4 linked regions of the Stegostoma tigrinum genome follow. The protein of the gene in region 1 purifies or fractionates together with the protein of each later gene. This does not show direct contact. Links are inferred from orthologs where the notes say so. Each region holds a gene or a part of one and is shown in the gene's direction. Other genes may lie near its edges. The genes, in order: scap, srebf2, insig1 and srebf1.

Region 1 (7,263 bases):
TTTATGATCTTGGCAAGATGAATATGGAAAGAATGTTTTCTCTTGTGAAACAATGCAGAATTATGGGACAATGTTTTAAGATTTGAGGTTACCCAATCAGCTAATACAGGAGAATTTTTGAGGGTTATGGGTCTTTGAAACTCAGCCTTGAATGTTGCAGAGGCAGGGTGCATTGGATATTGGATAAATATTATGCAACGACATGTTGCAAACTCAGGACATCTGCTACTTAGGATGAGGGGAAAAAAGATGCATGGGCAATCCATTGCCCTCAGGTTTCCCTTCAAGTCATGCAATGAGTGTTATGTGAGAGCAGATGAAATGTAGCACAAGAAGATGGCTAATGAACTCTTTGAGCTCAGTTAGAAAAAAGTGCCAGCCTTGTCAATGACAATTATATCCAATCACCAAAGTCAAGCAGAGAAGCCTTGATTTCACAATGCTCTACTCTGAAGTCCATCGCATTCTTGAGAATAAATTTCATTGTGGATGACTGGATGCATTATGAATTGAACATAGATAACGAGTTGAACTCTGGCTATTTCAGATCCCCATGGCGATAGAATTTTCAGTCCGTCCCAATATATCAGTTCACACAGACTCAGTTTCAACTCAATCTTTTGTCTTTGAGTTGCTAGAAATCTTAACTGATTGAGGTGGCCCAGTGGCTCAATAGCTGGCAGTGCTGCCTCAGCGCCAGGGACCTGGGTTCAGTTTCAGCCTTGGGGTGACTGTCTGTGTGGAGTTTGCATGTTTTCCCGATAGCTGTGTAGGTTTCGTCTTGGTGCTCCATTTTCCTCCACGGTCCAAAGATGTGCAGGTTAGATGGGTTAGCCTTGAGAAATACTGGGATGAGGTGGGTCTGATTGGGATGCTCTTCGGTGGATGACTGTGGATTTGACAGGCTGAATGGCCTGCTTCTGCACTGTAGGGTGTCTCTGAACTATGTTAAGTTACTATATTGGTAAATTGCCTAAGTGTCCAGTGATGTGCGGGCTGGGTAGATTAGCTATGGGCAATGCAGGGATACAGGTGTGGGTCGAGATGGGATTTTCTTGGAGGGTCGGTGTGGACTCGATGGGCTAGATGGCCTGCTTCCAAATTGTAGGGATCCTTTGACTGAGATGAAGGCAAGAGGAAGAGTTAGAGCTGGGCAAACATAGACAACTGTGGAAGCAAACACTATTTAATTTGTACAGTTAAAGAGCACTCCAATGAAGAAGGCATTTTTGGGAACTGAATATAATTTTGAGAGAATTAGAACCCAGTAGTGAAAATAAACTGGCTTTCACAGAATTAAGAGTAGACAAAGATAGTTCAACTTAGACATTTTTCTTTTATCATTCCAACACTGGCAAAAATGAAGGCCAAGCAGCATCAGAGGAGCAGGAAAGCTGATTTCAGGTCGAGATCCTTCTTCAGAAATGGGGAAGGAAAGGGGATTCTGAAATAAATAGGGAGAGAGAGAGCGAGGGGAGATTTTGAAGCTTGTGAAGTCGACATTGATACCCTTGGGCTGCAGGGTTCCCAAGCGAAATATGAGGTGTTGTTCCTGCAGCTTTGGGCAGGCGTCATTGTGGTATTGCAGGAGGCCCAGGATGGACATGTTGTCCAAGGAGTGGGAGGGGTAGTTGAAATGGTTTGCGACTGGGAGGTGCAGTTGTTTAGTGCAAACTGAGTGTAAGTGTTCTGCAAAGCGGTCCCCAAGCTTCCGCTTGGTTTCCCTGATGTAATGGAGGACACAATGGGAACAGTGGATACAGTATACCACATTAGCAGATGTGCAGGTGAACATCTGTTTGATGTGGATGGTCTTCTTAGGGCCTGGGATGGGGATGAGGGGAAAGGTGTAGGGACAGATGTAGCACTTGCTTCAGTTCCAGGGAAAAGTGGTGGGGGTGGGGGGGGAGTGTGGAGCAGACAAGGTAGTCATGGATAGAGTAGTCCCTCCAGAAAGCAGAGAAGGGTGGGGAGGGAAAAATGTCCTTGGTAATGGGGTCAGATTGCAGATGGTGGAAATGTCAGATGATGTTGCATTGGATTTGGAGGTTGGTGGGGTGGTATGTGAGTATGAGGGGCATTCTGTTATGGTTATTATTGTGGGTACGGGGTGTGAGGGTTGAGTTGTGGGAAATGCAGGAGCCACAGTCAAGGGCATTTTCTATCAAGGATGGAGGGGAAGTAGCAGTCCTTGAAAAAAGAGGACATCTGGGATGTCCGGGAGTGGAATGCCTCATCTTGGGAGCAGATGCGGTGGAAGTGAAGGAATTGAGAATAGGGGATGGCCTTTTTGCTGGTGACAGGACGTCTATTCTAGGTAGTTGTGGGAGTCAGTAGGTTTGAAATGGATATTGGTTTCCAGGTGGGTGCCAGAGATAGAGACAGAGGTCCAGGAAGGACCTAAGTGGAGGCTTGGGGACCACTTTGCGGAACACCTATGCTTGGTTTGCACTGAACAACTGCACCTCCCAGTCACGGACCATTTCACCTCCCCCTCCCAGGACGACGTGTCCATCCTGGGCCTCCTGCATTGCCACAACGACGCCACCCGAAAGCTGCACGAACAGCATCTCAGATATAATGGGAACTGCAGATGCTGGAGAATTCGACATAACAAAGTGTGGAGAGATAATGGGAACTGCAGATGCTGGAGATTCCAAGATAATAAAATGTGAGGCTGGATGAACACAGCAGGCCAAGCAGCATCTCAGGAGCACAAAAGCTGACGTTTCGGGCCTAGACCCTTCATCAGAGAGCTCTCTGATGAAGGGTCTAGGCCCGAAACGTCAGCTTTTGTGCTCCTGAGATGCTGCTTGGCCTGCTGTGTTCATCCAGCCTCACATTTTATTATCATATAACAAAGTGTGGAGCTGGATGAACACAGCAGGCCAAGCAGCATCTTAGGAGCACAAAAGCTGATGTTTTGTTTGCTTGGGAACCCTGCAACCCAAGGATATCAATGTAGACTTCACAAGCTTCAAAATCTCTCCTCCCCTGACCGCATCCCAAAACCAGCCCAGCTAGTCCCCGCCTCCCCAACCATTCCTCCCACCTCAAACCCCACCCCCCTCTCCTACCCACGAACCTCATGCCCCCTCCTTGACCTGTCCGTCCTCCCTGGACCGACCTGTCCCCTCTCTAACTCCCCACCTACATCAATCTTCACTGGCTCCATCCCCACCTCTTTGACCTTTCTATCTCCTCTCCACTTCTATCTGCCTTCCCCCCCTATTTATTTCAGAATCCCCTTCCCCGCCCCCATTTCTGAAGAAACGTCAGCTTTCCTGCTCCTCTGATGCGGCTTGGCCTGCTGTGTTCCTCCAGCTCTACACCGTATTGTCTCAGACTCTCCAGCATTGGCAGTTCATACTATCTCTGGCAATAATGAATTTAGCTCTTTGGATTTCCCTTCAGCAACTTTGCTGATATTCTTTTCTTCAAAGCTCATTCCATTTGACAATAATTTTGGTCATCAAATGGATATCTCAAACCAATTCAAAGACGATAGTTTTGAAGCGCTGCCACTCTTGTAAGAAATGTGGCAGTTTTTTTATACACAAACCTCCCACAAACATTAGTGTATACGCCAACGGGAAATCTGTTGTATATGTTGGTTGGGAAAGAAACATTGCTGAGGAGTGCTGGCAGGGGGACAGCTGTATGGCCGATTTCAGTTCACATATCAGCCTAAATGTTGGTAACACTGACCGTGTAAGATTTCCTGAGTGCCATGTAGATTGTACTCTGTAGGAGCTGTTGAAGACTTAATAAGCTGAACGGCCTCCATGTGCTGTACTTTTCCATGAATTACAGTGCTTTGTATCAAGTGCAAGTTGCTTTAGTTTTTATGTGGGTGATGCTGTCATTTTTTTCTCCTATCTTTTTTAATTGATGAGTCTGTCTTACGTTGCTCAGCGTTCTTTACAAACTATCGACTAAGTGAACAACACGTGCAAAAAGGCAAAATAAGGAACAAGTCTAACACTAGCTTCATGCTTCTTATTCCGCACATCAGGCGAGGCATGGGGATGTGGGTGGGGCTAACCCCGAAGCCTGCGGGAGATGGGCGAAGTTAGCCCGGGGCGTGCTATCTGCGAACGATGGGAGGGGTTGACCTGTGGGGCAGCGGATTGGAGACCGGAAGGACTGTAGACGCTGAAAGCCACAGCCAATAGATGTGGAGCTGGAAAAAGCACAGCGGGTAAGTCAGCATCAGAGCAACAGGAAAGTCCATGTTTCGGGCTGAAACCCTTCACAGAACTGGGAATGAGGTAAGAAGGGGGAGGGATCCTGGTGTAAATAGAGGGAGGTGGAGCTGGAGAAGAGATTACATGATGAAGGGTCTAGGCCCGAAACGTCAGCTTTTGTGCTCCTGAGATGCTGCTTGGCCTGCTGTGTTCATCCAGCCTCACATTTTATCATCTTGGAGCTGGAGAAGGGTAGGTTGGATGGTGGCGCAATAGTGTTAACCCGGAGCGCGCGGACGGTGGGCGGGGTTGAAGTGGAAAGCGTGTGGTGCGAAATGAGAGGGGCAGACGGGGGCGGAGTTAATAGGGGGAGCGTGCGGCTACGCTGGGTGGAGTTTGTGTCGGGGCCGGGGCCGCGCAGTTTGGGGGCGCCGTGCTTACCTGGGAGCGTGCGTGTGTAAGGGCGACGTTAATCCGGGCGCGCGCCAACGGTGGGTGGTTAACCCAAGTGAGCGGGAGCGCGCATCATGGATTTGCGTGTTACTGAGGAGACGCTGTGGAGTGGCATCTGAGCTGAAACACAGGGACTTCACGGCAGTTAATTATAACCATCGAGGGAGAGAAATTAAGCCACCAGCAGGTGAGAAGGTTTGGTAAATGTCACTGAATTCCTCAGCTTGAACAGAGAGGACGGCTGAGTTGAACTCTTTGAATAATTTAGTTTTCCATGAGATCAGCTAGGCCCAAACCTCGTCCTGTATTTTTACACTGGAGTGGCTCATGTACCTCGCTGCTTCACATCATGTTTTATTATTATGAGGGTTGTTTTTAATCGCTTTCTCGTAACTAAAAAGAGCATCATTCCATTCTGAGCTGACGCTTGCCAGTAAATTATTGTAGTGCCAATTAGCAATTACTTTTTCCATTGTAAATTTTGAATGTAATATCCTCCATGGAAATCCGGTTATTTTGTTTAAACGTATTTACAACAAGGCTTAAAATATTAGTTTTTCAAAACTTATTTATTTACTTTTGAAATCATGTCTTGATTTTTTTAACTCCTAAAAATAGGATCTACATTAATCTCACTTCACTAATTACTCTACTGTGAAATGATTGCATTTTGAATGGAAGGCTTGAAATTTCATTTTTAATTTGATGAAAATTAATCTTAAGTGATGCTTTGGCTATTCTGTCAAACACACCTTTCTTCCCATGAGATGGTTAGTCGTTATTCAAAATGATGTTAAGCATTTGAAAGATATAAATGTTCCCTATGCAGTTGCAGTCATAAGCACACCTTTTCATTATCCTTAACAATTTCTAACTTTCTTCCTTCCCGCACCCTGTATTGACAAATTTCTTTTGTGCCTTGCTTTAATGGAATGTTGGGTGTTTCTTCGCTGCCCCCACCATATATTTGTTTTAACACAAATATAGTTCTGATGGTATTGTTTGATTTATGAGTAGCCAATTTCTTTGTGCCCCATTGCGATTGCAAATTGGTGACTGTTATTTTTCTTTGCCTCCCTTTTTTTGTGTTTGGTAGGATGATCAGGTTTCTGCACAGATTAGGTGGTAAAAATGTGACCAGCATTTTGTTTTATGTGTGAAGGTTCCTCCAAATGTTGCAAGTTTTAAAATGCTACATTTTTGCCAAATGAAGATGCTAGTCTGTTGTCAAACAATTGAAACTACAGCTGAGAAACAAATACTTCATTGATACTTTGACTTCTTATTGCTTTTATTCTTTCAAATTCTAATTCAAAATACATGTATTTGATACATAATCGTGAACTTTTCCTTTGCTCTATGAGAATGACATATTAAAGTCCCACAAAAATCAATTACTGTCCTCATCATGAGCCATTTAGATTTATGTAAACTGATGGTCCACTGTCCTGTACAGCAATAAGTATTGATGCTTTTGATTGTTTTGTACTAACACCCATCACCAGGACCATGTTTATCATCTTGTTACTTTATCCAACATTTATAAATGCAGCCAATATCTCATTATTAAATAGTAGTTTTGTTGTCAAGACAATGAGACCCTCCTTCTACTCCCCTTCCTCAGCCTTCCTTTCCCCTCCTGAGTGTGTTATTGCCTCCTGAATTGATGTTATTTTACTGAGAGCACCAGTTTTAATCTCTTGGCAAAGTCTCAACTGTAACAATGGTAAACTATTCCTGCTTGTCCTGGTTCCACCCTTTTACTCAGTTAAGAATGCCATCATCCTCAAAAAAATTCTTCATGTTTGTCCAGTTAAATGTGGCAGTACCCATCAATACTCTTAACTTCCCAAACATAATCAGCAAATCACATCATAATTATTTTTCCCATTTCAGTACCATTACAATTACTCTACCTCAAGGATCAATCCTCGATCTCCATCATACTTTTTACCCATGTGCCAACTATTATGATTCCTGAAGACTATCAGTTTTAATACATATGCTGGCACCAATTCTACTTAATTGTAACTACATGACCCTTTTGTTTTCTGAGTTGTAAACTGGTTGTTTGGCATTCAGTATTCAATGAGTAAAAATTTCCTTCCAACTAAATATTCAGAAGACCAGCAATGCATTCCATTGACTGCATCTCTCTCCCTGTTTAACAGGGCAAGTGGAGGTTATGAAAGGACAGAGACAGGCTCTATTCTAATGGGGAATAAGGAAATGGCAGAGAAATTAAACAAATACCTTATCACCCTTCATCATAGAAGACACAAAAATATTCCAAAAACAGTGAAGAACTATGGATCTAGGGGAAATGATCGACTTAGTGAAGAATTAGGTTTGAAGAAATTAATGTGCTTTAAAATAGACTGGCTTTGGACCTTGGAACCTGCATCCTATGATTTTATTCTACTGCTAGAATAGTAGAGGCCTGTTTATTTCTGGAGTCCAGAACAGTTCACATTTAATGAAAGATGTCAATCATTGCCCTAATATTTAAGGATAGGGGAGAGAAAATGGAGAAATATAGTTAGCTTGAAATTGATCATTGGAAAAATGATATCCTTTTGAGGTTGTTGAGGGTGGTTGGCTCGCTGAGCTCGTTTCTTGTTTC
Region 2 (8,319 bases), on another chromosome or scaffold:
ATGAGGATGAGGGGGATTCTGTATTGGTTGTTATTGCGGGGAGGGGGTGTGAGGGATGAGTTGCAGGAAATGCGGGAGACACGGTCGAGGACATTCACGACCATAGAGGGAGGGAAGATGCGGTCCTTGAAAAATGAGGATATCTGAGATGTATGGGAGTCGAATGCCTCATCCTGGAGGCAGATGCAGTGGAGGCAAAGGAATTGGAAATAGGGGATGGATTTTTTTTCAGGAAGATGGGTGGGAGGAGGTGTATTCTAGGTAGCTGTGGGAGTTGGTGGGCTTGAAATGGATATCAATTTCTAGGTGTTTGCCAGAGATGAAGACAGAGAGGTCCAGGAAGGAGACAGAGGTATTAGAGATGGTCCAGGTGAACTTAAGGTTGGGGTGGAAGGTGCTGGTGAAGTGGATGAACTGTTTGAGCTCCTCATGGGAGCATGAGGCGCCGCCGATACAGTCATCAATGAAACGGAGGAAGAGGTGGGGTTTAGGGCCAGTTGGCTATGGAAGAGGGATTGTTCCACATAACCTACAAAGAGGCAGGCAAAACTTGGGCCCATGCGGGTACCCATGGCCACCCCCTTTGCCTGTAGGAAGTGGGAGGAATTGAAATAGAAGTTGTTGAGGGTGTGGACAAGTTTGGCTAAGTGGATGAGGGTGTCAGTGGTGGGGGATGATCGGGCCTGCGGGACATGAAGAAGTGGAGGGCCTTTAGGCCATCTGTATGAGAAAATGCAGGTGTATAGGGACTGGACATCCATGGTAAAGATGAGACGTTGGGGACTGGGGAATTGGAAGTTCTGGAGGAGGTGGAGGGCGTGGGTGGTGTCACGGACGTAGGTAGGAAGTTCCTGGACCAAGGAGGGAAAAATGGAGTTGAGACAGATGGAGATACATTTAGTGGGGCAGGTGCAGACAGAGACAATGGGTCGGCCAGGGCAGTCAGGTTTGTGGATTTTGGGAAGGAGATAGAAGTGGGCGGTGTGGCATTGGGGAACGATGAGGTTGGAGGCTGTGGGATGGAGGTCACCTGAGGTGATGAGGTTGTGCATGGTTTGGGAGATGATGGTTTGGTTGTCGGGGTGGGGTCATGATCAAGGGGGCGGCAGGAGGAGGTGTCGAAGAGCTGGCACCTGGCCTCGGCAATGTACGGTTCTCCACAGGTCTCGGCCCACTTATTCCGGACTGCCACAGGACTTGACCACTTGCTCTGGTCCTCCCTGAGTCTTGGTCATGCTTGCTCCGGTTTGCCGTGGGTCTTGGCCCACTTGCTCCAGTCTTCCAGAACTCCACACAGGGGGACGGGGAAAGGGGTAAAAGACCTGGCCAGCAGAGGTATTCCAACTATTCCTACTTTGCCGCCATATTGGACTCACTTGGGATGGGCAATAAACGTTGACCAGCTAGCAACACCCACATCCCGCGAATGAATACAAAAAAAAGTGTCTCCTAGCTTGTTGTGGTTGTGTGACCTCTACCATGAGACACTCCCTGCAGGCATTCATCTTACAGTAATTTCAAATAAAAGAAGGTACAAGCCAGATTTTGTTCCGACTTGTAACAATCTTCTCAATAATGGGGAAACAGAGATTTACAGTTCATGGAGTCATAAGAACAGATACGGACCCTTTAGTCCAATTTGTCCGTGCCAACCAGACACCCAATCTGACCCAGTTCCAGTTGCCAGCATTTGGCACATATCCCTCCAAACCGTTTCTATTCATGTACCCATCCAGATTCAATTTCTGGATCACAACATCACAAAATGTTGTAAGTTGATGTGATGTAAATGGACTTGATAAAGTTCCAGGTAACAGGCCTGTAATCAAAGTTGAAGCCTATGGAATAAAAAAAAAGTAACAGCATGGACACAAAGCTAGCTTGAATGACAGGAAAGATTAATACTGTAGTGGTGATGGTTGCTTTTTGAACTTGAGGAAGATGTGCACTTGCATTCCCTGGTTGGTATTGAAGAAGTGTCTAAAAAGTTTAGTATGAATTGTCACAAATGCATAAATGACTGATTTAAAAGCAAGATCATTAATTTGCTTGACTTAGACCGCTAAGATTTTTAAAAAGCACCAGGTTCATTTAATAAACAAAAAGACTTAAACTTATTTATTTTAACAAGTTTATCCTTTAACAAGTGGCAATTAATCACTACTGTACAAACTTAAACTATACCCCCTTTAAACCTAAACACTCAATATTCTTTCACAAGTAGGAGGAGACATATCATGGGTAGGGAACATAAGGGAAAAGGAACAAATTCTGTGGATCAAGACTCCAAATGACAAAAACGCAATAAGATAACTTTCTCATAGTTCTTTTGGTTTTTGGCAATGGTATTGCATTGTTGTTGACTGTGGTGATCTCCAGTTCAGTAGCTAGTCAGTTGGATTTAAGTTGTTACTTGAGTTAGAAGCTCTATTTTCAGCATCTTTAGTGCTTTATTTATCCACTCAGAGCAGACAGCAAAAGATCTGTATTGCACATCCCTTCTTGGAAGTTTTAATGCCACTGCGCCTTTCTCAGTTCTGTGACACACCGCAACTTCAAACAAATCCAAAGTACTTGGCGGACAGTGCTTTTTGAACCCAAAGACACCTGGTGCTAGCGAGTCTCACAAAGCAAATAGCAACAGACATTTAAGGAGGCATTTCATGACTTGCAGCAAAATTATATCCCAGTAAGGAAAAAAAATTCTAAGGGGGGATAAACTAACCATGGTTAACCAAGGAAATTAAAGAGAGCACAAAGATGAAAGAAATAGCATTTTGAAGATAAAAGTCAGTGATTGCCCCGAAGACTGGGACAAATTCAGAATCACCAAGAGGACTAAAAAATAGTAGAAACAGGAAATAAACAATGAGGGCAAACTAGTAAGAAATACAAGAACTGACAAACAGAGCTTCTTTAAATACATTAGATGAGAGAGTTCAAAGTGAACATGTCACCCTTAGAAAATGAATCTGGCAAGATAGTTATAGGGAACAAGGTAATGGCAGAGGAGTCCAACAGATACTTTGCATCAGTGTTTACAGTGGAAGATATTCCAAAGTGCTATTAATACTAAAGGATATGGGGGAGGAATTAAACACCATCATTAGAGAAATAATATTATGGAGCTTAAGGTAGTTAAGTCCTCTGGCTCTTATAGCTTGCACCCTAGGATCTTGAAAGTGGTTACTGCTATGATATTGGACACATTGGTTGTAATTTTTCAAAAATCTTTGGATTCTGGGGGAGAACTGGAGGATTAGTAAACTGCTGTGACATCTCTATTCGAAAAGTAAGGGAAACAAAAGGCGGGTAACTATAGGCCAATTAGCCTAATGTATATTGTTGGAAAAAGGTTGGAATTGATTATTCAGGAAGTTATACCAGCATGTTTGAAAAATCATAATCTCATCAAGCAGAGTCAACATGGCTTCACGAAAGGGAAATCGCGCCTGACTAATTTTCTAGTTTTCCGAGTGTCTCAACCAAAGTGTATAGAGGGAAACCAGTAGAGGTACAGGTAGTTCTGCCATAACGCTTGTTTCGCTGATGTGAATTGGCTGTCACGTGATTGATGAACGGTGGACACTGTTTGGATAACTCAAACTTTCTACTGTATAGTTTAGCGATTTTGTATAACGATTTCCCTATAACATGACTTTCCAAAGCGATTTTCTATAGCGCAAACTCATGTTGGACTTTCGAGTTCTTTTTCCTTGACTTATTCTAAGTTAATGTGATTGGCACCATGTATGTATGGCGAAGGTGAACACTTTTCACTGTTTTTACGTTGAATACATGTGAGAATAAATGATTCAATTCAATTCTTTCACATGAGATCACACAAGCATTACAGGAGAAATAACTGTTGCGTTCAGACTTCTGGAAGGTGTTTGACAAGGTAGTTTAAACCCACCAGAAAAAAACATAATCTATAATTGAGGGGAATGATGATTTAAGATAATGTTAGAGTCAAGATTTTACATTATGAAAAGAAGTCTTTCGGCCTCTTGGTCCAAACCAACCATCTATCTATTCTCATCCCATTTTCCAGCAGTTGACCCATAGCCTTGTTTGCTGTTGCATTTTAAATGCTCATATAAATGATACTTAAATGAGTGAAGAGTTCCCACTGCTACTATCTTGTCAGGCACAGAGTTAGATATACACAACCCTGAGGGCAAAAACCTTTTTCCTTAAATCCCCTTGATACCTCCTATTGCTAACCTTAAAACCATACCCAAAGCCAGCCCAGTTCGTCCCCTCCCCCCACTGCACCACAAAACCAGCCCAGCTCTTCCCCTCCACCCACTGCATCCCAAAACCAGTCCCACCTGTCTCTGCCTCCCTAACCTGTTCTTCCTCTCACCCATCCCTTCCTCCCACCCCAAGCCGCACCCCCATCTACCTACTAACCTCATCTCACCTCCTTGACCTGTCCGTCTTCCCTGGTCTGACCTATCCCCTCCCTACCTCCTCACCTATACTCTCCTCTCCACCTATCTTCTTTTCTCTCCATCTTCGGTCCACCTCCCCCTCTCTCCCTATTTATTCCAGAACCCTCACCCCATCCCCCTCTCTGATGAAGGGTCTAGGCCCGAAACGTCAGCTTTTGTGCTCCTGAGCTGCTGCTTGGCCTGCTGTGTTCATCCAGCCCCACATTTTATTATCTTGGATTCACCAGCATCTGCAGTTCCCATTATCACTCACCCTATTTTCAAACCGTTCTTCTAAGGAGAAGTTATTCCTTAGAGGTTTGTACGCCTTAATCAAATGCCTCCTTCCCCCTGAGGAAAACAACTCAAAACAAAGAACTGCGGATGCTGGCAATCAGAAATTGCTGTAAAATCAGCAGGCCTGGCAACATTTGAGAAGAGAAAGCAGAGTCAATGGCTCGGGCTTAGCGACCAGTTCCGTTCTGAAGACTGGAATTACTTTCTCTCCGTTATGCTGCGTGGTTTACTGAGGTTTTTCAGCAATTCCACATTTTCCCAGCCTTGATTCGTGCAATTTTAATTTCATTCCACAGCCATAATCTCTTTACGCTGGCAGGTATTGGACGAAAAAGACGGAAAAAACATTCCCACCCTCACCTGACGCAGCATTGGGCAGAAACACCTACGGCGAAATTTGGAAAGCAAGCCGCCGCCGGTAACCAAGGCGACGGACTGTACCCATGTTGACGTCGCATCACCCCATCAGGCCGGCTGGCCCAGCGATTGGCCGACCCACATCTCGTGTTTGCGGCCAACACCAACGGACGCCGCTCGCGCCACCGCTCGATCAACACGCGCACCGGATGGGGTGAGGCCACCGGGTCACGGGGGCGGGGCATGAGGAAAGGGGGCTGGCCAAGATGGCGGCGGCGGCAGTGGAATTGCGAAGAGAAATGATAATGTTGGGTTAAAGTAACAGGAACCTAAACTGAGATACAGGAAAACGTAACCCTCTTAATATCGGAATCCCTAGCATTCGACCCTTAAAACAATGGAGGGTGAGGATATATCGTTTGAGAATATGGACCCCTCACTGAGTGAGCTCAGTGAGGGGCTGAATTTTGGGGATATTGATGGTGAGTTAATGCTTTATGTTTCCTCCCAAAATGTATGTTAGTCTGTTTAAAACCAACGTATACAAATGATCATTCTGAATGTACAATAGGAATGTTAGGAAATAGGCTGGATGGAATTATGTGTAGAATCTTATTATTTGTGTTAACAAAAACAAAGTTGCTGGAAAAGCTCAGCAGGCCCGGCAGCATCTGTGGAGGAGAAGACAGAGTTAACGTTTTGGGTCTGGTGACTCTTCCTCAGAACTAGATCCGAAGCGTTCACTCTGTTTTCTCCTCCACAGATGCTGCCGGGCCTGCTGAGCTTTTCCAGCAACTTTGTTTTTGTTAACACAAATAATAAGATTCTACACATAATTCCATCCAGCCTATTTTCTAACATTCCTATTGTACAAAGTTGCTGGAAAAGCTCAGCAGGCCCGGCAGCATCTGTGGAGGAGAAGACAGAGTTAACGTTTCGGGTCCGGTGACCCTTCCTCAGAACTAGATCCGAAGCGTTAACTCTGTTTTCTCCTCCACAGATGCTGCCGGACCTGCTGAGCTTTTCCAGCAACTTTGTTTTTGTTCCTGATTTACAGCCGTTCTTTTGATTTTTACTTATTATTTGCGTAATTGTTTCCTTTGTTTACTGTTAGTTACCATCACTACTCATCTGATATTTGTTTACTAACTTTTGGTTATTGCACTGACAGTAAATTGTAAAATGTAGAATGGAGAATGTGATCTGTGTGTAAAATCTGTGATATCAGAATCATGATAATGTGGTAACTTGTAAAATATTGTGATAACAGAGCCTCTCTGATTCTTATTCACAACAGTGTGCATTTATATCTTTAACATAAAATATCCCCTGCTGTGCTGGGCATCTGGTATTAAATGAGCAAAAATTACTTCTTGTTAACTGTTCTGGACATTGAAGCAATCATCATTAGATCCTGCTTTAAACTCCATTAACTGATCTTTTTTTTTATCTCTGCCTGACAACTGTCTGAAGCTGAACCAAATTGCCCACAATTGGGGTGTCCGGTTTGGCCCTGAATTTAACTTCAGACTACATCTTCTCTCAGACTTTCTCCTGAGAGTCGCCAACACTATATGCTTCCTCCTTCTCAACATTGTCTATTTCTGCCATGGCCTGTGCTCAGTTACTGAAAACCTCATCTGTACTTTTGTTAGTTTTAGATTTGCCTATGCTAGTGATCAATTGGCCAGCTTTCCATCTTCCACACTCGATGTACTTAAACACATCCGAGTTCTACTGCCCATGACTTAACCTGCACCAAATGCTGTTCATTTGTCATCTTGCTCTTGCTGCAGTACATCAGTTCCTGCTTTGGCAATTCTGGATTACAAATACCTCATTTCCTTTCAAGGTCTTCAATTATTGTTGCTTGTTTATCCCTATTTCCTTCACCCCATTATTGGTAGCCATGGTTTCAATAATTTATCCTATGTTCTGCAGTTTTCATCTGAAGCTGATCACTGCATTTGTCTTTACCGAGGGCCTGCTTAAAACCTGCCTTTTTGATCTGGTTTTTGTCTTAAATCCTGCTTCTTTGACTTGGTGTCAATATTTTGTCTGAAAGTGCTCAATGGAATATTAAGCTAAATCAAAGCTACTATATAAATGCCGTTCATTGCTATTTGGTTGCTTTACTCAGGAATGATCTATCAGTTTGATACCAAAAGAGAACATTTTGCCAGATGCTGGCTGAAATAATGGATTTTGAAGAATGAGTAGGTACTGGCATTTATGGCAGAATCTAATGATTTTGGCTTTGATAGTCCAAGTACTTAATTGAAAGAAATTTTTTCTTATACAATTGGAATTCTGTTCATCAAATACAAAATAAATAATTAACCTTTTGACTTTTTTAAAAAAGAGATCCACTCTCAATTTTATTTTTATTACATTGCTAAGTTCATATATTTCTTCATGTCAACTAACCTATAAAATACAGGACAAACCAACTTATTGATAGACTAAAACCCTTTTCATTTTATAACCTTTGCCCATTTGAAGGATGCCTTGAGGGCATGAAAGATATTAAGTATGTAAGTTTTTTTTGTGAATTAAAGTCTCTGATCATCTTTGGAGAAAATATTGATGGGAATTGGCAGCACGGTGGCTCAGTGATTAGCACTGCAGCTTCACAGTGCCAGGGACTTGGGTTCGATTCCAGCCTCGGGTGACTGCGTGTGGAGTTTGCACATTCTCCCTGTGTCTGCGTGGGTTTCCTCTGGGTGCTCCGGTTTCCTCCCACAGCCCAAAGATGTGCAGATTAGGTGGATCGGCCATGCTAAATTGTCTGTAGTGTTCAGGGGTATGTGGATTTTTGGGGGATGGGGATGGGTCTAGGTGGAAGGTTCAAAGGGCAATGTGGACTTGTTGGGCCAAAGGGCCTGTTTCCATACTGTAGGGAATCTATTCAAGAATGAGGTGGAGTAGCATGGGAGGAGGCTCCGGAAAAGCATGTAAACTGACACAGACTAGGATGGTAACTTTTCTGTGATGGAATCTGGTCTGTCACCTTGAAAACAAACCAAACTCCATCATCAGCATTAATAAGGATATATCACTTGGTTTACTGTAAAATTTGATGGCCACAGATTAGCATCTGTTATAGTCATAGTATTACAATTTGTTCTCGCCTTTGAGCATTTGCTGATGCAAGCCATGTAGTCAGCTGTAGCTCAGTTGGTTGCACTGTTGCCTCTTATCACAAATTTATGGGCTCAAGTCCCACTGC
Region 3 (8,099 bases), on another chromosome or scaffold:
TGGGGTGGGAGGAAGGAATGAGTGAGAGGAAGAACAGGTTAGGGAGGCAGAGACAGGTTGGACTGGTTTTGGGATGCAGTGGGTGGAGGGGAAGAGCTGGGCTGGTTGTTTGGTGCAGTGGGGGGAGGGGACGAACTGGGCTGGTTTAGGGATGCAGTAGGGGAAGGGGAGATTTTGAAACTGGTGAAGTCCACATTGATACCATTGGGCTGCAGGGTTCCCAGGCGGAATATGAGTTGCTGTTCCTGCAACCTACGGGTGGCATCATTGTGGCACTGCAGGAGGCCCATGATGGACATGTCATCAAGAGAATGGGAGGGGGAGTGGAAATGGTTTGCGACTGGGAGGTGCAGTTGTTTGTTGCGAACCGAGCGGAGGTGTTCTGCAAAGCGGTCTCCAAGCCGCCGCTTGGTCTCCCCAGTGTAGAGGAAGCCACACCGGGTACACTGGATGCAGTATACCACATTGGCAGATGTGCAGGTGAATCTCTGCTTAATGTGGATTGTCATCTTGGGGCCTGGGGTAGGGGTGAGGGAGGAGGTGTGGGGGCAAGTTTAGCATTTCCTGCGGTTGCAGGGGAAGGTGCCGGGTGTGGTGGGGTTGGAGGGCAGTGTGGAGCGAACAAGGGAGTCACGGAGAGAGTGGTCTCTCCGGAAGCAGACAGGGGTGGGGATGGAAAAATGTCTTGCGTGGTGGGGTCGGATTGTAGATGGCGGAAGTGTCGGAGAATAAGATGCCAGCTTATTTCTGCAATTCTGACTGTATTCCAGGCAGAAAGTTGCTGCTGGAAATTGATTAACAAAAGCAGCAAGACTTCAATTACTTACCTCCCTGGAGGAAGTTACAGTTTTCCTGTAGTGTCAATCAGCAAGTTAGAATAGATTCATATTTCAATGATTACAAAGTGTAGAGCTGGATGAACACAGCAGGCCATGCAGCATCTTAGCAGCGCAAAAGCTGCCGTTTAGGGCCTAGACCCTTCATCATATTTCAATGCTCTGTTTCTCAAGCTGATATTTCAGTTCCTCTTTCCTTTTGAAATAACTCAAGACAAATTATTTTGTGGTCAGACTGGTGTATCCAAATTTGGATTAAAAGCATAAGGGGCTGGAGAAAAACAGCTGGTGAAACTCAGCAGGCCTGCCAGCATCCATGAAGTGTGCAAAACAGAGCTAACATTTCAGAATTGGTATGAAGAGTCATGCTGGATTTTAAATGTTAACTCGGTGCCTCTCGCCACAGATGTTGACAGGCCTGATGAGATTCTCCAGCAGTTTCTGGTTCCTCCTGCTACCCAGAGATGTGCAGGTTAGGTGTATTGGTCTTGCTAAATTGCCCAATAGTAACCAGCGATGTGTCGGTTAGGTGCATTAATCATAGAAAATGTAGGGGTACAGGCAAAGGTTAGGGGGATGCTCTTTAGGGGTCAGTGTGGATTTGTTAGGCCGAATGGCCTGTTTCCACACTGTATGATGATCATGAAACTATTGTTCATAGTTGGTAAAAATCCATCTGGTACACCAATATCCTGCAGGGATGAAAACTGCCATCCTTACATGGGCTACATGGAACTCCAGAACCACAGCAATGTGTTTGACTGTTTACTGCCCTTTGGGCAATTAGGGATTTGCAATGAATGCTGGCCTAGTCAGCGACACCCCCATCCTGTGAAGGAATAAACATATTCCAGCATCCAGAGAATTTTGCTTTGATTCAAATCTGGGTTAAATTGGATTTGCACACATGACATGCTGAATGTAGAAAGTGTCTGCTATCATAAGAACACAAGAAGTAAGGGCAGCAGCAGACCATTCAGCTCTTTGAGCCACTGAATTGAGATTATGGCTGATCTTGTAGCCCCATCATTTTCTTGCACTATCAATAGAGACTGGTCCTTCACTCAGAGAGTACCCTATATCAGATAAAGTTACTGTGGAGAAAATACAACTGGAATTGCAGGGACCTTGTTGCATAGAATTGCAGAAATAGGCCATTTGGTGAGCTCAAATGATCTGTACTAGTGTTCATATTCCTCTTATTCAATCCCACTATTTAGAGTCAGCAAGCATTCTCACTGAGTCATTCTTACATATTTTCAACCATTCCATTCATTGTGGTACTGGAGAAAAAACAGATTTAAAGGGAGAGTATGAGGAGAGTGGCCCAATGTAAAATTACTCAGAGATAGCAAGTACTGCAGCTGCTGGAGTCAAAAACAACAGAGTGGAGCTGGAGGAACACAGCAGGCCGGGCAGCATCAGAGGAGCAGGAAAGTTGATGTTTCGGGTCGGGACCCTTCCTCAACTTTGTCAACTTTCCTGCTCCTCTGATGCTGCCTGGCCTGCTGTGCTCCTCCAGCTCCATACTGTATTGTCAATATAAAATTACTCCTTTATCCAAAACATTTCCACTTAAAAATAACGTTATCTAGAATTTACATGCCAAAACATGACATTCTGTCCAACTGCTTTCTGCACGTAAGAGATATGAATTGAGTGCTTTCAGTAGCCCTGGATCAGAACAGAATTGGGTGACCATAATATTACAGGCCAAGTTGGCAATCTTGCAAGTGATGAAAATTCAGCATCTGTGAGGTTCAGCCTCACACAATGAATGTTATACTCTCCTCGACTGCTACCTGGATATACTTGAATAGAAATAAGATACTGTGGATACTGGAAATCTGAAACAAACACAAATGCTGGAGAAACTTGTGATAATGGGAACTGCAGATGCTGGAGAATCCAAGATATTGAAATGTGAGGCTGGATGAACACAGCAGGCCCAGCAGCATCTCAGGAGCACAAAAGCTGACGTTTCGGGCCTAGACCGTTCATCAGATAGGGGTATGGGGTGAGGGTTCTGGAATAAATAGGGAGAGAGGTGGAGGCGGACCGAAGATGGAGAGAAAAGAAGATAGGTGGAGAGGAGAGTATAGGTGGGGAGGTAGGGAGGGGATAGGTCAGTCCAGGGAAGACGGACAGGTCAAGGAGGTGGGATGAGGTTAGTAGGTAGGAGATGGAGGTGCGGCTTGGGGTGGGAGGAAGGGATTGGTGAGAGGAAGAACAGGTTAGGGAGGCAGAGACAGGTTGGACTGGTTTTGGGATGCAATGGGTGGAGGGGAAGAGCTGGGCTGGTTGTTTGGTGCAGTGGGGGGAGGGGATGAACTGGGCTGGTTTTGGGATGCGGTGGGGGAAGGGGAGATTTTGAAGCTGGTGAAGTCCACATTGATACCATTGGGCTGCAGGGTTCCCAAGCGGAATATGAGTTGCTGTTCCTGCAACCTTCGGGTGGCATCATTGTGGCACTGCAGGAGGCCCATGATGGGCATGTCATCTAAAGAATGGGAGGGGGAGTGGAAATGGTTTGCGACTGGGAGGTGCAGTTGTTTATTGCGAACCGAGCAGAGGTGTTCTGCAAAGCGGTCCCCAAGCCTCCGCTTGGTTTCCCCAATGTAGAGGAAGCCACACCGGATACAGTGGATGCAGTATACCACATTGGCAGATGTGCAGGTGAACCTCTGCTTAATGTGGAAAGTCATCTTGGGGCCTGGGATAGGGGTGAGGGAGGAGGTGTGGGGGCAAGTGTAGCATTTCCTGCGGTTGCAGGGGAAGGTGTTGGGTTTGGTGGGGTTGGAGGGCAGTGTGGAGCGAACAAGGGAGTCACGGAGAGAGTGGTTTCTCCGGAAGGCAGACAAGGGTGGGGATGGGAAAATGTCTTGGGTGGTGGGGTCGGATTGTAGATGGTGGAAGTGTCGGAGGATGATGTGTTGTATCCGGAGGTTGGTGGGGTAGTGTGTGAGAACGAGGGGGATCCTCTTTGGGCGGTTGCGGCAGGTGCGGGGTGTGAGGGATGTGTTGCGGGAAATACGGGAGACGCGGTCAAGAGCGTTCTCGATCACTGTGGGGGGAAAGTTGCGGTCCTTTAGGAACTTGGACATCTGAGATGTGCGGGAGTGGAATGCCTCTTCGTGGGAGCAGATGCAGCGCAGGGGGAGGAATTGGGAATAGGGGATGGAATTTTTGCAGGAGAGTGGGTGGGAGGAGGTGTATTCTAGGTAGCTGTGGGAGTCGGTGGGCTTGAAATGGACATTAGTTACAAGCTGGTTGCCTGAGATGGAGACTGAGAGATCCAGGAAGGTGAGGGATGTGCTGGAGATGGCCCAGGTAAACTGAAGGTTGGGGTGGAAGGTGTTGGTGCAGTGGATGAACTGTTTGAGCTCCTCTGGGGAGCAAGAGGCAGCGCCGATACAGTCATCAATGTAACAGAGGAAGAGGTGGGGTTTGGGGCCTGTGTAGGTGCGGAAGAGGGACTGTTCCACGTAACCTACAAAGAGGCAGGCATAGCTGGGGCCCATGCGGGTGCCCACGGCCATCCCCTTAGTCTGCAGGAAGTGGAAGGAATTGAAAGAGAAACTTAGCAGGTTTGGAAGACTTCCTACTCAAAAGGACAGGAAGTGGAGGTGCTGGTGTTGGACTGGGGTGGACAAAGTCAGAAGTCATATGACACCAGGTTATAGTCCATCAGGTTTATTTGAAATCACAAGCTTTTGGAGTGTAGCCTTTTGTCAAGTGTGGTGAGACAGCAGGCACACTGACCCATGGATTACAAGCAGAGAGGTGGAAAGATCCATTCTAATGAGTCGAGTGTCAGATGACAAGTCTCTGCAGATGGCCAGGAGTATTAGACAGTGAGTAAAAGTGTCAACAGCTGAATAACCAACCAAGGAATGACCTATAATCCAATCAAATGAGGCAGAGAGATAATTACAGAACATTAAAAATAAGGTGGTGCTGCAGATTCAGGCTCTGCTTCGTCCCTCTACACGTTCTGCCTGCCTCCCACATTCACAGGCTGTCTGTAATTTACACAAGGTCACTTCACCCTGTCAAATAGTCTGGGTCACCATTCAATCCGCTTTCCTCTGCACTTCAGTTTCATTTCTCAGTCTTTAAGCGGGGGTGGGGGGGGAGGAGAACGGATGAGTAAAGAGTGACAGTGCGTGTATTTTATGATGCCTTGACAGGAAGGTGTGGTTTATCCTCCTCTTCCTGTGCAAACGGACGGTGCACCGAATGGTGTGTCCTTAACGTCATATGGGCCGTTCAGACTGCGATTGGCTCCAAGAGTCTCACCAGACAGATTGTTTTGACCGCTTGCCCGTCTGCGCTGTATGAATAGTCCCATTGCAGGATGTGACCTAATAATTCCACACATACAATGTAGAGCAACTGGCAACCTGAAAAGCGTTGCCTGCACAAAGTTCCACCCCCATTGTTTTTTTTCACAGAAGGCTGGCTTTTAATGGTGCTTAGTGCTAGCGCTGCTCAAAACTGGACGGTAAGCTTTGTTTATCAGGCTGATTTCACTGGAATGAGTTTTAGTGCTTCAGTGATGAGTTGGTTATACTGTAACCCGGTGTGGCTGTAAGAAGTAAAATGAGTATTTATCTTGTGTCTGTTCGGGACGATAGGATGTGTTTGCCTGTAAAGCTTTCTCCCTGTTTGTACAGCTAGCTCTCTTATGTTTGAGGCCATCATTAGCCTAGAAAAAAAACGAAGCTAACGTATCAGGGCGAGCCTGTTTCTTTACCATTAACTCTTGAGACCATCTTCACTTGCAAATCCACCACCATTCTCAGTGGCTTAACATTTGGAATATCGCAGTGTTCAGTATTTACTGGTCTTGCTGTGTCGATAATTTCACAAAGTTTGGCATTTGGACACGCTCCCCTGTTGTGTTTAAGTGTCACTCAAATGAATTCATTTGATTTTATCTTTTCCGTTTGCTGTTCACCCCTGCAGGGCCGTGGAGGCGCCGCCAATTTAGTGTAATTCCTGCCAGTTGCCTCTCCATACCAAATGTCAAGGATCGAAGAAACTTGCTGGTCGTGCAGTTGCACCCGGGTACATCCGTCTGAAAGTAACGGCACACTGCTGGTGGCAAAGGTCTACGAGATGATGACCATCGTCAGCTCGATCCTAGTCAGTGCCTACTGCTCCCTGGTTAGCGGTCACACCATGAACTTACTGCGGCGGGGCTTGGTGCTTTTCACCGTGGGAGTGTTTCTGGCGCTGGTGTTGAACCTGCTGCAGATCCAGAGGCACGTCACCCTGTTCCCCGAAGAGGTCATTGCCACAATTTTCTCCTCTGCCTGGTGGGTACCACCTTGTTGTGGCACAGCGGCAGGTAAGCGCGGGGTATTGGGAGGGAGAAATCAATATGCCAATAAGTTTAGGCCTTTTTACAGTGTTGAAGTTGTTCAAGAGAGTAACCTGTAGCAAACTTTATCCTCCATTCAACGAAAAAGGGGCACTCTTTAAAATATCAACCAGACCTGTTAAATAATGTTATTTTAAAAAAATACTTCTTGTCCTATTAAAACGTCAACAAATTGTCATTAGACTTGAATTTGGAATACAGATGTTTTGAAAGCCTCGATAAAAGTTCTTAGTTTTTCAGCATTTTTATTAAAAAACATTCCAATCCTACTGTGTTCTTGCATTGGGCATCTGTCACCAAACATGGTAATCTAATGAGTTGTAAGCACTAGAGCTGACAAACCCTTAAATCAATAACTTCTTGACTCTTTAACACTGAGCATTTGGCGTCTGTATTCGACAGAAGCATGTGTTTGTCATTTTCCGCAATTCAAATCTTTTTTTCTCTCCAAACGCGGTAACATATCAACCTCTTTTGTGTTGTGACACTGTAAATCCTCGATTCTTTCAGAAAATGCATCTCAACTTTGGTGTGAAACTTGCAGTAAAATTATAGTAACTCCCAACCTCTAAAGATAAAAAAAAGTGGCTTAATTCGAACAATCCCCAACCATTTGCAACACACATATCTCCCCGCTCACAAGAAAGAACACTTTTAAATAGGATCAGAGATAATGGGAACTGCAGATGCTGGAGATTCCAAGATAATAAAATGTGAGGCTGGATGAACACAGCAGGACCAGCAGCATCTCAGGAGCACAAAAGCTGACGTTTCGGGCCTAGACCCTTCATCAGAGAGGGTCTCTGATGAAGGGTCTAGGCCCGAAACGTCAGCTTTTGTGCTCCTGAGATGCTGCTTGGCCTGCTGTGTTCATCCAGCCTCACATTTTATTAACTTTTAAATAGGAAGTCAGTTTTTCTTTCATAAACTGTCAATTTTCACGCCTTGAAATGGAAATAAAACAAGGCTAGTTGACGTTGAAGTTCCAAAAGACATCTTCGCACTAGCGGAAGATGCCAGTGTTTTTTAACGCCGATGATTCATTTCAATTATATTCCTGAGGGAGGTTTTTCGCGCCACGTGTCGCTAGATTTGCATGAAATTGCAAGCGCGCTGGAGGAGGCGGGGCCTTGGAGTGCAGTGCTGTTTCTTGATTGGCTCAGCTGGCAACGGGTGAGCTGGACTGCTCGCTCCTGATTGGTTGTCATGTGCAACATACCACTTGGCTTTCTAAACTAAAATACAGAATGAAAGCAAGGAAATGAAGTGACAGGATGCTGAGCCTGTCTCAAGAGTTTGTAATACTGCTGAGTGCTGAACTTATTAACATTGTGTGTTTTCCCTCCCCACCCTTTCTATTTCACTGATGTTAGCATTCACCTGCTTTTAAATAGGCTCAACCCAATCTCGGCGCAATAGACAGGAGAGGTGGTCTTCAAAGGAAGCCAGAAAAGATTTAAATTTTATGTAATACGGTTCGTTACCTGCTGTACAGCTCACGTGATCGACCTTCGGAGTTTCTGTGGTGACTTTCTTGTAGAAGTGAAACTTCATGCAACAAGGAACTGGCATTGCAGAAAAAAAACTGAGTAGGTCTGGCAGCATCTACGTAGGGAAAGCCGAGTCAACCCCCGAAGAAGGGTCACTGGACTGGAAATGTTAACTCTTGCTTTCTCTCCACAGATGTTGCAATACCTGTTGAGGTTCTGCAACAGTTTCTGCTTCAAACCTTCAGCATCGACAGTTCTTTGTTTTGTTATAGTGAACTTCAGGTGTCTTGGTGACTGTTCTCAGTCCTGCTATTTGGAGATAATGTTCAGAAAGATGGGTTGTGTTTTTATGATGGTTAACACTGTTAGTGAGACATTGCCCACACC
Region 4 (8,165 bases), on another chromosome or scaffold:
GAAGAGTAATACAGTTTCTCAAGCACCTGTTAGCCCCATTTACTTTGCAAGTCACAAGCAGCTCCAATAAATATGATTTTAAATCTGCAGCCATTGTCTTTCCACCATCTCTTTAATTTAAACAGTATTTTCCCAGTTTTTGATCCATAATCCAAAAATAAAGAAAATAAAAAGATTCAGTCTTTATAATGTCATCTACTCGCAACCCCTCAACTCAAGGGAGCACTTTTTTCCATTTATCCAGAACCTGCTCAATTTTGAACATTTTTATAAATCTTCTCTTCTCTAAGGAAAACAACCCAAGATTGTCCAACCTACTGTCCTAACTAAAATCTTTTGTCCACGAAACAATTCCCACAAATTGTTTCCGCAGCCTCTCAACTGCATTTCCAAAGTATGCTCTCTAAACTTGGACTCAATACTATAAGTCTGCACTTTAAGTTGCCCTGTTTTAAATCTTCTTGATGCAATATTGTATTTTTCAAGGGGCCACTATTCACACAGTCCATTGAGAATGCCCATGAACGTCAGCCTGCAGCAGCTATGACATGAGATAGTATAACCCATTTGCTGCCATGGTGGGGCAGGGTCTCCTGCTCCCTGACACCACTTCCCCTCCCTAACCCACTTCTACAGCTTGTGGCTTGCCTCCGTGACCCTAATACTTGAAACTGCTCTCACTCTATAGATTACCTCCTGCCAATTGGTGCTCACAGCAAGTGGGAGGCAGGAGCAGTAGCCAGCAAGGAGGGCAGTGGCAACCAGGAGAGTTGGGAAGCAGGTGGCTGTGGAAACATGAATGGCAGTGAGCTGGAGGCTTATGGAGCAGAAGATGCAATGAGTAGAGAAATTGGCAAGTGAGATGAGATCAGCCATGTTCATATCAAATGGCAGAGCAAGATGGAGGGCTGAATTGCCTGCACCTGTTCCTAGTTCTTATGTCCTAAGCCGCAAGAATTAGAACATTCATTTTTCTTTTGATCAGAAACTTACTTAGAAAACTTAGCTAAAGCTACATCATAATGGGAAAATCAAATTTGCCTAACATTGATTTAAGTTGTTTTTTTCAGAAATGTAATTACGCTACTAAATGAGGAATTGTTGTTCTCCATTTGAGCCAAACAAGTATTTTTTAAAGTATAACTTCTTTGCTTTAGCGCATTATACCTCTATTTATAAAGCCCAAGGTCACATATTTCTCAATTACCCTTTCTCAATGGCTCTGCCGTGTTCAATAATTTACAAACATATACCACCCAGGTTCCTCTCATTGTCCACACCCTTTAGAATTGTATCCTTTATTTTGTATCAGCCTCTCTCTGCTCTTCCTCCAAAATGTAACACAGCATATTTCTCTGCATTAAGTTTCAGCAGCGATGTATTTGCCATCCCACAAGCCACTCTGTGATCTTTTGAAATCTATCTCAATCTTCTGTACAATTCATAATACTTCCAAGTTTTGAGTCATTTTCAAATTTCTAAATTGTGTCCTTTACATCCATGTTAAGGTTTCAATTTAGATCAAAAAAAGCAATGGTCCCAATACTGACTTGGGATTTCCACTCTGTTATTGTCTTCTAGTCTGAAAAACAACTGTTCACAACCACTCTCTATCTCTAGTTGCTCAGCCAACATTGTATTCTTGCTCCCAGTGTTGCTTTTCTTTCATAGGTGTCAAATTTGCTGACACATATATGACATGGCATTTCAGGTTCTCCCTGTTGCTAATACCACTTTTAAATCCTGATGTTCCTTTTCAGGTTCTGGACTCTGAGCCTCCTCTCCCTGTTGTAGTAACTGACTGCCTCCATTCAATCCATGCTGTTTTTCCCTTTGAAGCTGTTCTCCCTTCTCACTGCACAGCCTTGTTCCTCAAATATCAAAATCCACAGTGAGGAACTGGACAATGCGGATCAATTCTCATAACTTGGCAGCCACCTCTCAGTGAAGAGAAATAGATAATTAAAATCAACATTACATCCAGCACAAACTTTGGTAGTCGATGGACAGATTGTTTGATGACAAAGACATCAAATCTAGTACTGTGCACATGATCTATAGGACCACCTCCTGGGATTCCCTTGCTCAAGGTTGCCCAAGATAGTCCAAACTAGAGAAGAAGCATCTACGTAGCAGCATCCAGCTGAATGACTACAACAAGCCCAGGTGCAGGTCAAGTGCAAACAGTGGAAAATGTATGCAAAACCTTGAGCATCACACCCATCTGCCTCTTCAAACACCATGTGTCTCACCTTTAACAGGGTGTGCAGATCTGGAATCAGGCTGCCTGATCACTTCAGGACACAACATTGGAATGGAAGAAAGTCATCCTTAATCTTGGGGGAATGCCGAACAAAATATGACACATCATTTAGTTTCTTTTAGAAGTGTCAGTATACCACATCAACCATATTAGATGTATCATTCATTTCTGTTACCTCATAAAATTCACCATTAAGTTTGTTAAACATATCTTGCATTTAACATATATTTTCTGGCTGTCTTCAGTTAATACACATTTGACCAAGTGACTGTTAGTTTTGTTCCAGGCTATTATTTTTAGTGTCTTTCCACCACTGAGATTAACCTTCCCTTTTTGATCCCTAATCTACTCCACACCTTTTTTTGCCACACTTTTTTTATTCATATGCTCTAGAAGATGTTTGGAATTCCTTTTTGCATCAGCTATCAGTTTCTTCTCATCCTCACTGTTTGAACAGAGAACACAGAACATACAGCAGAGCAGTATAGGCCCTTCGGCCCACAATGTTGCACCGACCTAATATCCTTCTCTAAGATCAAACTAACCTGCGTACCCTACATTTTACTATCTTCCATGTGCCTATCAAAGAGTCGCTTAAATATCCCTAATGTATCTGACTCCACTACCACCACCGGCAGCGCATTCCATGCACCAACCACTCTGTGTGTCCTGAAGTGACCAGACAGCCTGATCCCAGATATGCACACCCTATTAAAGGTGGGGCACATAATGTTTGAAGAGAGGGGTAGGTGTGATGCTCGGGGTTCCGTATACGTTTTCCACTGTTTACTTCTAATTTCCCTTGGAACTTTCTATATTCAGCCTGGTTCTCACCTGTATTATCAATCAGACATCTGTCATATGCATTCCTTTTCCACTTCATCTTACTATCTGTCTCTTTCGTCATCCACAACTTTTGGTTTTGTTTGGCTTACCTTTCTTTCCCTTGAACATACCTTGACTGTACCTGAACCATCTCATGTTTACAGTCAACCAATTGTTCTGTTGCAGGACTGTTTGTCAGTCATTGCCACTTACCTGTGCTAAAAGTAGTCTCAACCCACTCACTCTCAATTAAGTATTTTTACTAGGACTGCTAGCCTAAAACTTAGATGAGATCATCATTGTCCACTTGATCTGCCTTATTGCACAAAATCTAATCGATCAATGATGCTTTCTCATCTGGCCAAAAAACACTGACTAAAAATCTCTCCTAAATGCACTTCAAAATCACTCAGTCTCTTTTCCTTTATTGTTACCATCCCAGACTTATTAGTATAATTAAAGTTCCACATAATAACAACTGAATTACCTCTTCACCTCTGTGTAATTTCATTCCATATTTATTCCTCTATATCTCTCCAATTAGTTGATAATCTATGCAATATACCAAATATAGTAACAGTGTCTCTGCTGTGTTTTTAGCACTACCCAAATAGATCCTGACCTTGACTTAATCTAAGATATCAAATACATGCATCCCTCCTGCTTTCTTTCCTTTCTTTTATTTCCCAAACACCATCTATCCAGGAATATTTAATAACCAGTCTGCTCTTTTTCGTACCCGATCGTCATTACTTCCAGATTGGAAGTCATATGACACCAGATTATAGTTGAACAGATTTATTGGAAATCACAACCTTTCACAGCGCTGCTCCTATGTCAGTTGAAGTCACCATTACTTGGCATCGTGTGTTTTCTGACCTTGTTCACCCCAGTCCAACACCTGCACCTCCACTTTATTATTTGCACATCACAATTTTCCCACCTGACTGTGCGTGCTGCTTACCAATCTTTTATTTAAGCAGAGTCAAAAAGTTAAGACGGGTCCTAATAGTTGTGCTCAAGAATGATATTTCAAGCTATAATAAAACAAATAACCATGGATGCTGGAGATCTGAAACAAAAATAGAACTTGCTGGAGAAACTCAGCAGGTCTGACAGCATCTGTGGAAAGAAAGCAGAGTTAATGTTTTGAGTCCAGTTACCCTTCATCAGGATACATTCAATATATTGTAATGATTTATGTTTGAAGTGAGCTGATATGGAGTATTACGCCAGAGACAATAGGAACTGCAGATGCTGGTGTTGCAGTGGGAGAGAGATCCCCTTGTCTGGAGGGAGGAGGGTAACTTCTTCAGGTTAGGCATCCCTAGAAGAGGCTTCGAAGTGAGATTAAAATTGTATCAGAGATGACAGGAACTGCAGATGCTGGAGAATCTTGGATAACAAGTTGTGGAGCTGGATGAACACAGCAGGCCAAGCAGCATCAGAGGAGCACAAAAGCTGACATTTCCAGCCTAGGCAATTCATCAGAAATGGGGGAGGGGGAGAGGGTTCTGAAATAAATAGGGAGAAAGGGGGAAGTATTACACCATTAGTTTGAGCCACATAGCTTTTTTTGTGGCCTAACAACCTCTTTAATTGTGCTGAAAAGTCCAATTTACTTGTCCAATCTACTTATCTCTACCCTCCCACCTCCAAAACTTGTAACAGTTTCTTGTTGTTAACCACAAAATCGACTAGTCCTAACCCCACCACGTGGGGAAGTGAGTTGATGTAATCCCCACAAAAAGAGGGCGGCGGCTTGCAGCGATGACGATGGATCACCCCACGCCGCAGACCGCGCTCTCATTGGCTGCATTCCGCTGGTTCTAGAGGCACGCGGGCCAGCTCCACCCCCGCGCTCGCCGGCGCCTTCTCAACCGAACTTGAACATAACCTGCAAATGATTGGTGCACTTTGCCCGCCCAGTAGGGCGAGCCCACAAGGACCTGGCCTCTCATTGGCCATACTAGTTATCAATCAAGAAGATGAGTTCGTGTCTTCGGGAGATACCCTCCCTCTTCAGCTCCTGCCAGCGAGTTAGGTGTCTCCTGGCGTTTATTGACATGGTTCCACGGCCGGTGAGCCCGGTGTAAACAGCGAGTTCAACATACCCTTCACCCGCCCTGCCCCACCTCATCCCACCCCACCCTACCCGGGCCGGTTTGATCCTCCCCTCTCCGCGTCTGGGACATTCACCTTGTTTAACATGAATAACAGTGGGAAGTCATACGCTGCTCCTGATCCGGCCATGATGTTCGAGGATTCGGCCCTAGACAGTCTGGAGCCGTCTCTGACCGAGAGCAGCGAGATCGATAGTGCACTGCTCAGTGACATTGATGGTGAGTGATGGGCAGGGCTTGAGAGGGCAGCATTCCGGGTGGGGGAGCAGGATCGTGGAGGTATAGGGCAGAGCCTGGCTCCTTTGGATAGTCTAGAAGGTCTAGATGTTAATGTTAACAACTCTGCTCGTTGTCTGGTAGAACAGGACACTGCTTAATGGGCTGTTTGAAGATCCAAAGATTGAGCTTGTACTCTGCATTGACAGTTGTAGATAGAACTAACAATTTGTAGAATTCCTTGGTAAACAATTCTTACTGAAATCAAAATCAAGAATACTGGTAAAATTATTTAATTAAGAGTAAATGCTTCCATGATTTGTGGAAAATTGTATAAACTTACGTACATAATATTGTTGTTCTACTTCTAAACTTCGTGCAGCATTTAAGTACAGGCACTTTATAATAGTTAAAGTCAGTTTGTATTAGGGTAGGGTGTAAACAGCCCTTAACTCGGGATGGTAATGGTGTTAGTGCAGCTTAAGTCATTCATTGAATTTTATTCTGGTAAAATTACTTGTCAGACTGCCCCTTTTCTAACATAAATGTTTAAACATTGATGAGAGAAAGGGATTTATGAAAAAATTACACTTAATTTCAATGAGATATGGGGAAAGGAGAAAATCATCTTTACACTTAATCAATATAAAACTCATATTTCAAATCGTTCAATTTGTATATCATCCGACGTGGAGAGTATGCACCCTGTTTGCCCTGGTGCTCAGTATAATCGATTCGTTGCAGTTTTGGCAAGGTTACAGTTGCTGACTTGTGTGTTCAATTTCAACCCAACCCCTTTCAGCTCAGTCAGTGACGTCACGCCTGGGTTACTCGCGGTTATTGCCTTCTGTGAAATTCTCAAGTTCATCTGCACATTGATCTACTCCAAGACGCCAACAGCATCTTGGAAACTTTTGAGTTTTTACAAACCAAAAGGAATTATTTTCTGTACTTGGTTTTAATCCATAACAGTACTTACATTCTGAGAAGCCCTTTCTGATATTTTAAAATTGTTAACCTAAGTTTTTCAGTATGTTATATGATGCACTCATTTTTAAAAAATCTAGAAATGAACTAATGTTGCAGTATTAGACTGTGATTTTTAAATGTCTTGAGTGAGTTTGATGGTTTGTACTATATCTGTATTGGAATTAGCACTGGGGAGCAGATGTCCGAAAGTAACCCCTGGTTATTCACCTTTGTGAATTAGTCAGTGCCCCTGGAAGTATAGACTATTACACAAATCCTTTCTGTCATGTCTGAGTGGTTAGCCAAACATAGCGAGCAACTGGGGCACTGCAGCGATTGGTTCAACCAGATCACCTCATGAGAAAAAAACAGATTCCAACAACCGCCCCTCAATTTGAATACAGTCAGTGGATTTTTTTTCTTAGGAGGAGGAAGAGGAGGCAAGAAGTATAGAGCAATTCTGTTTGCTTACTGTGCTGCAGTGTGGTTTTGTATGTGCAGTGTTCCGAAAGACGAAACAGATAAGCTCCTAAGGTGCTCTTGTGCACTACAAAAATATTGCTCTTAATGTAGCAGCATAACCCTTGTATCAAGTGTTGAACAGATGAAGTGTAGCAATGGACTGCACATTTGAAGGTAATACTGTTACAGTATAGTGTTACTGTAAAGATTGAGGTTTACTGGTGCAAATATTTGTGCAGATAGTGTATCTTAATGCTGTTGTAAACAGTCTCTTTCAATTATTGTACAAGATGGCTACATTTGATTTCAGATGTATGTAGTTCACTTTTAGAATAGCATGAACAGCAGAATATTTAAAGCAAAGCTTTAAAAACACATTTGTGATAATGGGAAAATGGTACTAATGAAAATGTTTGTGCTATTTGCTCATAATTCTAAAACAAATTAGCATTTATGCAAGATCTGAAATACACAGGCATTGGCAGTTGTCCATAATATGTGGGAGCCTTGGAGATTGTACAACTAATGGAAATGATATCCCCATCAAAATCTGATTAATTGGAAATTGATTGTGTTAAAGTAGCTGTTGATATGGAAATTGATGGCGTTAAAGTAGCTGTTGTGTTTTTGTTATAACTTTAAAAAATTCTGATTTTTCCAGTGTAGATCTTATGAACGAAAATTACCGCCATTTATGTAACACCTTATCAGAAGATCTGACGACCCAAGATACATTGGAATTAATTAATTAGTTTTGCATTCCAGTTACATTGTGATGTTGTAGTGATTTATTTAGTTGGAGCAAGCCTGCAACTGGGGGAATGTAAATGCTTTTATAAGTCGACAACGAATGTGCTACTGGCTGCTTTATTTCAGGATACAGTTTGCTGAAGTAGCAACTTATCTGTCTAGTCTTGTAATATGTATTCCACTTTATTTACAGATATGTTGCAGTTGATTAGCAATCAGGATGGAGATTTCCCTGAATTGTTTGACAACACCTTTTCTAGCAGCCCTCTCCAGGATAGCAGTTCATCCATCACACCTAACCAGGGGTCTCTGAACTTGACTCTTGACAGCCTGTTGGGGAGTAGTGGCAAGAATCAAATTCCCGCAAAAACGTATCAGGCCTCCAGGGTCCAACAGCTTCAGCGTCCGCAGCAATCGCAGCTCCTTCAGGGCCCCTCTCCACAACGTGTCAAGCAAGAAAATGCTCAGATGCAACAGAGTCAACATCAGCAGTCTCTCATGATGTCACAGAGTTTTACAACCTCAACACAACTACAGCCACAGTTTGTGCAGCAACA

Evidence for each region.
Region 2: the proteins of scap (region 1) and srebf2 purify together in Homo sapiens (affinity purification with western blotting; 3 studies listed by BioGRID and IntAct, with this or other methods). This does not show direct contact. The link is inferred for Stegostoma tigrinum from reciprocal best matches to the Homo sapiens genes SCAP and SREBF2.
Region 3: the proteins of scap (region 1) and insig1 purify together in Homo sapiens (affinity purification with western blotting; 11 studies listed by BioGRID and IntAct, with this or other methods). This does not show direct contact. The link is inferred for Stegostoma tigrinum from reciprocal best matches to the Homo sapiens genes SCAP and INSIG1.
Region 4: the proteins of scap (region 1) and srebf1 purify together in Homo sapiens (affinity purification with western blotting; 4 studies listed by BioGRID and IntAct, with this or other methods). This does not show direct contact. The link is inferred for Stegostoma tigrinum from reciprocal best matches to the Homo sapiens genes SCAP and SREBF1.

Annotation. Positions count from the first base shown.
Region 1 is NC_081358.1:98,288,258-98,295,520, forward strand, and holds the start of scap (sterol regulatory element-binding protein cleavage-activating protein), read left to right. Parts: upstream 1-4,108; 5' UTR 4,109-4,201; intron 4,202-4,213; exon of another isoform or gene 4,214-4,439; intron 4,440-4,606; exon of another isoform or gene 4,607-4,827; intron 4,828-7,263. UniProt on the Homo sapiens protein: Escort protein required for cholesterol as well as lipid homeostasis.
Region 2 is NC_081391.1:4,386,284-4,394,602, forward strand, and holds the start of srebf2 (sterol regulatory element-binding protein 2), read left to right. Parts: upstream 1-5,313; 5' UTR 5,314-5,487; coding exon 5,488-5,572; intron 5,573-8,319.
Region 3 is NC_081355.1:142,091,293-142,099,391, reverse strand, and holds the start of insig1 (insulin-induced gene 1 protein), read left to right. Parts: upstream 1-5,064; 5' UTR 5,065-5,340; intron 5,341-5,364; exon of another isoform or gene 5,365-5,426; intron 5,427-5,804; 5' UTR 5,805-5,861; coding exon 5,862-6,189; intron 6,190-7,120; exon of another isoform or gene 7,121-7,774; coding exon of another isoform or gene 7,775-7,811; intron 7,812-8,099. UniProt on the Homo sapiens protein: Oxysterol-binding protein that mediates feedback control of cholesterol synthesis by controlling both endoplasmic reticulum to Golgi transport of SCAP and degradation of HMGCR.
Region 4 is NC_081376.1:20,032,557-20,040,721, reverse strand, and holds the start of srebf1 (sterol regulatory element-binding protein 1), read left to right. Parts: upstream 1-5,125; 5' UTR 5,126-5,297; coding exon 5,298-5,430; intron 5,431-6,813; exon of another isoform or gene 6,814-7,013; coding exon of another isoform or gene 7,014-7,032; intron 7,033-7,801; coding exon 7,802-8,165.